Linked DNA regions of Oryctolagus cuniculus. The protein of the gene in region 2 binds, or shares a complex with, the protein of the main gene of each other region. Links are inferred from orthologs where the notes say so. Each region holds a gene or a part of one and is shown on either strand. Other genes may lie near its edges.

Region 1 (3,819 bases), about 28 Mb from region 2:
GGAAATAATTTCAAATGCTTTCTAACACCTATTTAAAAAAAAAGACTTCTGCTAGAAATGGAGTGTGGGATTTTCCCACATGGATGCTTTCTATGGTGTGGGGACGGCCAGAGCTGGCTTCTGCTCTCCTGATTGGGTCTTGTTTCCATCAGGTGGGAAGAGAACTGATATGGGTTTGGAAATACACTCCATAAATCAGCAAGTAAACCTCTGAGTGAGAGGGAAGAGGAGTGGTCTCAAGTGGGCCAGATCCTAAATGTTTCAGTCAGTAAGGGAGGAAAAGGCAGATTTTGCTCAGAAGAGCCTACACTTTCGCACAGCCACAGCGGTAGTGAGGAAGTGAAATGGCATCAACTGGCGCTCAGAAGGCGTGCAGTTCTTTGACGCTTCGTTCTCTCATGTCTTTCTTTTCTGAAAATTAGACTCTTTTCTATATTCTTGATGCTGGCTTGAAAACACGACCCGCTGAGTTTTTCTATAAAGATAATGGCTTTCTGGTTTTGAAGATCTGTTTGCTTTCGGACTGAAAAACAGAGATACTACAGCTTAGATTTGGCAGTTATTATTGCCATTGTAGCACAAATTTCTATCATTTAAAAGTATATTGGGGCCTGTGCTGTGGCCTAGCGGGCACAGCCGCCACCTGCAGTGCTGGCATCCCATATAGGCACCAGTTTGAGTCTTGGCTGCTCCCCTTCTGATCCAGCTCTCTGCTATGGCCTGGGAAAGCAGTAGAGGATGGCCCAAGTCCTTGGGCCCCTGCAACCATGTGGGAAACCAGGAAGAAGCTCCTGGCTCTTGGCTTCGGATTGGTGCAGCTCCGGCCATTGCGGCCATATGGGGAGAGGACCAGCAGATAGAAGACCTCTCTCTCTCTCTCTCTCTTTCTCTTTCTCTCTCTGCCTCTGCCTCTCTGTAATTCTGCCTTTCAAATAAATAAATTTTAAAAAGTATATTCACATACACATAATAATTGCCTGAAAGGTTATACTTAAATATATATTTCTACATACCAGAATGATTATACATCATGTTATATGTAATATGAGAGTGCCTCAGAAAGTTAATGGAAAATGTGTATTATGAAAAAACTAAAAATTTGTTGCCCCTTAAATTCTTTTAATTTAGCATTTCTATGAACTTTTTGAGCTTTGCTTGTGTATTCTTAAACTACAGTGACTTTACCTGTACAGAGACTATTAAAACATAAATATTCCTATTTTTAAGTTTTTCAAATTTCTCCAGAAATTCCAGGTAGCTTTTCATTTCATGCTTTCCATTGGCTGCTTTCCACTTGTCCTCACCCATCTTTCTTACACCCCTAGCCTGGTGTCTGTCACTTGGCAGGTGCTTAGTAAATATCTCTGCAGTGAATGAAGGCCTTCAAAGTCCACTGCGTAATTCTGTGCTCCTTGACCTTGGCAGCATTACCTGTTTAGTGATCTAGCTTTTTATTTTTCCAAAGTAATAGGCATTTAAGAATTGGGGCATTCAGCGGCTTGATCCAGAGAGGTCTAGAAGGTAATGGAGTTAAGATTACAGGCATTTCTTCAAGGTTTGGGGGGATGGCTAGGGAGAAGACACTGCCATCTTTTACTTACTTTTAGGGAAATTATAATAGAAATATAAATTCAGTTGATTGAGATTTTACCCCAGGTAAATGTTAGAGTTAGGAAAACAACAACAACAAAGCAAGATTCAGTAACCTCAGCCTAAACATGAAGTCACTCAATTGATAAACAAATGTTTCCTGAGCACCTGCTATGCCCAGGAAACTGCAGACAGAGCGAAGGACGCCAAGCCCCTGCCTGATATAGAGTGAGACGTGGTATAGCCTACCTCCACAGAGCAGTCCTTTGTGTCTCACGCAGGAGAAATTGTCACACTGACAGAACGGCCCGTAAATGTTTCCATAGGGAGACAAGTGGCAGACGCACTGCCCGCAGTAGCAGTCACCCCTGCCGCTGCACGAGGGCTGCCCGGGGGCCTCTCTGCAGGAGTCCGTGCTCAGCATGTCCTCGCCACACTCGCAGCGAGGACCCATGTGGCCTGGGTGGCAGGCACACACTCCACACTGGAAGGAGCCGTTGCCATCGTGGCATTTGGAGCTGTTTACTTCCACTTCTTGCTGACAGTCACAGCTGCACTGGGGACTGATGAGGATTTCCAGGGTGTCTCCCAGGCCCACGGGCTTTATGACAATGTGCTGGCTTCTCTTCTCGCAGTTGGCTACGCTCACGGTCACGTTGAAGGAAGCCTGTGAGAGAACATAGGAACGATCTGCTTCCTCCAGCCACCAGCAGACAAGAGGTGAAACCAGGCTGCAAGCTTTGCATCCATCAGCTTTGTAAAAGAGATGCTCCTTAGATCTTTTAAAGCCTTGAAAGAATACAAAGCTTCAGTGAGCTCTGCCAAGTTCTCACCCCCTGGCCTATTTATTTCAGGTCTTTGGGCTCTCTACTTACTGTGTCTCCGACCTTCATGTGCGAGCATTTCTTTTGGTGTGGGAAGAGGGTGCTGTTACAGATGGCTGTGAATGACAAGTTGAGTCCTTCCGTGTCTCCTAATACTTCCAGTTCCACTTCTGACCGAAGTTCCTTTAGTTAAGGCACAGAGAGTTAGATGAAGTCACAACCATAACATACAGCCAGAAGAAGGAACTGTGAATCATCTTCATTAAACTAAAAATGAATAAAATTAAATAGGGTCTGAAATAAATTCATCATGTCATTACTCAAGCAAGAAAGTGAGCAATCAATATATTTCATATTTTATCAAATCGAAGATGCCATCAATTATAAGATTTGCTATTATTTTATGACAATTAAATTATGACAGATACCTGGAGACAGTTCTGCACAATATATGAAATATACCCATCAGTCTAAAACAATTTAGCTTTGAAAATTATTTTATCCATTTTGAGGGATTTGGCAAATTCTCCTCCCCTGAGTTGCACGGCTTGGCATATAAAAGGCAGTTTTTTTTTTTTTTTTTTTTTTGCTTATATCTCAGTGATAAATAAAACATCTTACTTTACTTGTAAGTATTACCATTTCTTGGGTCCCATAACACAGCTGGCTGTTGCTTTGGAAGGACTGCAGAATGGCAGTAATTCCTTCAACAGTGAATATCTCCTCACTGGTATCAAATTAACACCCTGCTGCTCTGTGTCGGGACATTTCTGCATACATCACTTTTCATTTGAATATAGAATTGTGGCAGACACTTTTTGAATCCATTAAACTTAACACGTGTTCAACAAATGGAAGTGACGACAATCACATTGTCAAAGAAAGCTCCATCATGCCTGCCACCTGGCAGACGGTGCTTGTGAGGCACTGCTAACTCCAAGCTGGATCCTAGTTCTACAGATGTCGAAATGTGGGTGGAAGCTGTTGGAATGTATTTAGTACCTTTTGTTCATTTAGTTTAGAGTCAGTTCTGGGGAAATAATAAGACCGGATTTCTTCCCTCAGGAAAAAAAAAAAAAAAAAAGCTGATCATCTTACTTTTTACTCTCCTTTGTTCACTTACAAAATAAAAGTATATTTTAGGGGGACACAACCAAATTAATATAAAAAATAAGTTAGAATAATATTAAGTTATATTTCAATTCATTCAAAAAGTTTTGAAAATGCTGTTGGCATGGTTAAACCACATTCAGCTTTAACTTTTCCTTAAGTATGATCTAGCCCACCCCATAGCAAAAGGACCCTGACGTCCTCCAAATTCTATTCACACTAAAATCATCAGGAATTATGACAGGTGTGTTGGAGACCATGGAGCAGTGGGTTCAAAGCTTAAAGAGACAAATGC
Region 2 (3,819 bases):
ATGCGCGGGTGTGTCCATCCCTTCTCTTCTTCCTTTGCCTCTTGCCAGGAGGGGGCTCACTGTAGCCCTGCGCCTCCAGGGTGCGTGGCCTTTGGGCCACGTGCTCCAGGCTTCCTGGCCCAGATGCTCCTCTACGTGGCTGGTTCCTGGTGCTTGGTATGAACCCAGATTTACCTCTCTCTCTTACTAAAGCCCTCACTTTCCTATGCACCTTTCTCACTAAATAAAAGCCTAAAACATACCATGCTGCCTCATTTATCTGTGCCGGTATTTAGAATTCTTCTGCAAATATTAGGCAAGAACCCTCTAGGGCTTATTAATATTGGGGGTTTATTAATAAACACATGGTGAAATAGTATGGCACCCCAAATTCTGGTAGCATATGTGGCACCCCAGATAGCACTACTGGGGAATTTTAAGGGGCCACATTTTTGTATAAATTTTAGGGGGTCATGTCTGATTTCAATAGGGGAATAGTTTTGAATACAATTTAAAGGACAAGGATGAAAAATTGTGAATTCCTTTCAAAAGAAAACATCTGGGGCCAGCTATGGCATAGCAGGTAAAGCTGCTGCCTGCAACACCGGCATCCCATATAGGCGCCAGTTGGACTCCTCCACTTCCAGTCCAGCTCCCTGCTAATGTGCCTGGGAAAGCAGCGGAAAATGTCCCAGCTGCTTGGATACTTGCATCCACATGGGAAACCCAAAAGAAGTTCCTGGCTCCTTGCTTGGGTTCAGCCCAGATCCAGACATCTGTGGAGGGAATTTGGGGATGGAAAACCTCAATCTCTCTCTCTCTCTCTACCTCTGCCTTTCAAATAAAAAATAAAACTTTAAAAAACTAAAACTAAAAAATAAAACATCTATAGTTTTTTCTTGAGACTTTTCTGTGTAAATATTATTTACTTGCAGCAATTGCTGGACAGAAAGAACACATTTCATTATTCAAGAAATTGAGCTGAAATTCAAATAGTGACATTTAGCTTAAAAACTTTCAAATAATTCAGAGTAATCCTATAATACACAATACCGGATATACTCACCTGTATAAAACAGCTCGATCTACACCAAAAGCTCCTACGATTAAGTCTGAAGAGAGAGTGAAAACACATGTTAATAATGGTTTTTAAATTTCTACACCATGCTATAAAACTTTCAATGCACACAAAAGAATTTAAGCAGATTCTCAGTCAAGAGATTGTAAGGCAGCAACAACAAAAACAACATCTTCTACAACATTTTCTTCTAACGTCTCATTACAGACTTCAAGACAGTGAACAAAAGCTCCGCACATGTGCTTCACGTTGTACACTCGCAGGAAACAGAGCTGCCTTTCCTTCACATCACCTTCAGTGATTTGAACAATGCTTTGAGCATGGTTGAGGTTTCATAATACTTGAAATATTGAATTGAAATGGCTTATAAAACAAATCAGGAGAATAATAACATTATTTACTTTAGGAATGAAAACTCTCAGAGCTGTAAGTATTTGTAGAAAATCACCTGGATATCCATTTTTGTCTATATCTGTGGCTCCTTTCATTGAATAGCCAAAGCTTGGTGGCATACTCCGAGCAGCCCACTGGCCTTCAAGGACTTGAGACGGTACTGCATTCAAGCCTGCTGCCCTTCCATTGAAGATATACACAACTCCTTTCTTATCTTCACCCCCATAGGGAGCAGCAATTGCAATATCTATGGGGTGAAAGGAAGAGGAGGAAGAGAAGAAGCAGCATGGAAAGGAGAGGATGAGAAGGGAGGAGGAGGGGGGAAGAAGGCAAGAGTGGTGACACTGAAGTCTCAGTACTCAGTCATTTATATGGGGATCGGAATATTCACAGAACCTTTTCTCTTGATCAGTATTGGTTCAAAGTTCAGTAATTCAAAAAGCAACAATATAATTCAAGGAAGTTCAAGCAAAACTGTAGAAATGACAATAACTTAGAGCCATATATTCTGGGTCTGACCTTATATACATCATTTACTTCTGAACCTTAAGTGCCCCATACTTAAACTTGGGGGTGTGGAAGGTAGGAGGAGAACATGTCAAAAGATTCATCTAAAGTTCATTCTAGGTAGCAAAATTCTATTTTGTTGATTCATGCATCACTTTAATTTTTTCTGAACAGAAATCCATTTGGATCACAAATTTGAAAGGACTTCATTTTCATCTTGTTCAACTCAAACAAATAAAATTATAAATTCTTAAAATAAACAAAACACCAATGGTCAATAGGACCTTTTTTGACTCTAAAATATACTATAAATAGGTCCACTTTTCTCTGCTGCTGTGGCCACCCTGTGTCTATAACTGTGAAGTGACCTTCTAAGTGACCTCTCACTTCAAGGCTTGCCTCTATGACTCATTCTCTTCAAACTATGCACTCTTCCCAACACCACTGGCCTTTTTCATTGTTGTTTCCTCATGCTCAAATCCTACATCAGACATCATCCTGCCAGTGTCCCCTGGTCCCTGCCCCTCTCCCCCTCCACTCTGTCATACACTCTATATAGCTGCTCTCCATCATGTTACCTTGCCTTAAAAAACCTGCAGTCTTTATCATTATCTGGGTTTCCACATTACTTGATTACTTATTCTGTGGTTCTGTATCTTTGAAGTTTACTTAATGTGTAGCTTTTCTTTTAGTAAGAATCCTGATATATTGTTGATTACACAAACAAACCAACAGTGCATCTCTCTACTACATGATCTATAGAAAGGTTTTAGTATTATCTTTTAGAAAGTATTTTGGTACTTTGTAATTTGTATTTCACATTTCCAAAGTTCTATACTGAAAGCTAACTTTGCTTTTTAAAGATGTCTACAGCTATTGAAATAAGACGATCATCAAATAGTGGGCTTATATGTTTGTGTGTCCCCATGAAGGGAAACAGAAACTCACTTAGAACATTTTGGACAGTCACAACAAAGTTATGACTTTCAAAATAGTATTGCTAAAGCATACCTTTGAGGTACGCATAAGATATACATTAGTCAGCATTGCCTTGCAATGTGCCTTGGGAGCATTTTTTTATATTTGTAGCCAAATGAACAGTAGAGGGCACTGTTGCTCAGCAGGACACAGAGACACAGAAAGTCACCAGCACTGGGCTCTGTGAGAATGAAAAAACTGCCTTTCAGAAATCATCCGTTCTGAATCTCTCTTGAGAATCAATTTTTGAAAATTTTGCTCTGATTTTTAAGGTAAAAAAAATGCAACCTATCTATAAACTTGGTGTACTGCTCACTGACATTCAATCCATCTTCCAGAAGAGATTTGCTCATGCGAATTTCAACAGATGGGGTTATGGACTTTCCCAGATGGGCTCAGAAATCAAGGACTTAACTTCTTTTGCTTAACTTCTATCTTACCATTGAAGCCGTCCTGGTCCAAATCTCCCAGTGGAGCTATGGCACTGCCAAACCGTGCAAAGATCTCAAACCCATTCAGCTTCGTAACCTGGAAGTCTCCGGAGGCTCTCTGCAGACACACGGAGACCTGTCCCACCTCTTGGAGTTTGCCATCGGAGCCTCGATCCATGAAGAGAGGTGCTCCAATAAACACGTCTGCATAACTGAGAGACAGAACTCCTCACCAAAGCAAGATCAAATTCCATCTGTTATTAATACACATTTTCTTTCTTATTAAAACTCAGTTTCCCCTTTTCCACATCTCTCACAGGTACATGGAAGCACAAAACGATGACCATAGTAGCCATTTCAAATTCAAAGCTTCTTTTAACTCTTTTAAGAAATTATGAAACCATAAAATTTTCATGCTATAAAAACTATTAAAAAAATATGACCAACAGAGGT

What was found.
Region 1: the proteins of ITGAV (region 2) and ITGB6 are in contact, whole or in part, in a crystal structure (PDB 9CZA), measured with the Homo sapiens proteins. The link is inferred for Oryctolagus cuniculus from reciprocal best matches to the Homo sapiens genes ITGAV and ITGB6. Residues at the interface, in NP_002201.2 of Homo sapiens: Tyr48, Phe51, Lys72, Trp123, Leu141, His143, Gln150, Glu151, Arg152, Pro154, Asp178, Ala179, Phe184, Gln186, Phe189, Pro204, Tyr208, Trp209, Asp249, Tyr251, Tyr254, Pro274, Arg275, Arg278, Thr279, Met302, Ala303, Tyr305, Phe308, Pro328; in NP_000879.2 of Homo sapiens: Ser183, Pro184, Phe185, Lys187, Thr188, Thr189, Pro190, Ile236, Asp237, Thr238, Pro239, Asp273, Ser274, His275, Phe276, Gly277, Met278, Asp279, Lys281, Leu282, Ala283, Gly284, Val286, Pro288, Glu308, Thr311, Ile312, Gly313, Gln314, Ile316.

The regions. Positions count from the first base shown.
Region 1 is NC_091434.1:81,824,538-81,828,356, reverse strand, and holds part of ITGB6 (integrin beta-6), read right to left. Parts: intron 2,598-3,819; coding exon 2,466-2,597; intron 2,258-2,465; coding exon 1,840-2,257; intron 1-1,839. UniProt on the Homo sapiens protein: Integrin alpha-V:beta-6 (ITGAV:ITGB6) is a receptor for fibronectin and cytotactin. It recognizes the sequence R-G-D in its ligands. Internalization of integrin alpha-V/beta-6 via clathrin-mediated endocytosis promotes carcinoma cell invasion.
Region 2 is NC_091434.1:53,695,541-53,699,359, forward strand, and holds part of ITGAV (integrin alpha-V), read right to left. Parts: intron 3,579-3,819; coding exon 3,376-3,578; intron 1,698-3,375; coding exon 1,506-1,697; intron 1,092-1,505; coding exon 1,046-1,091; intron 1-1,045.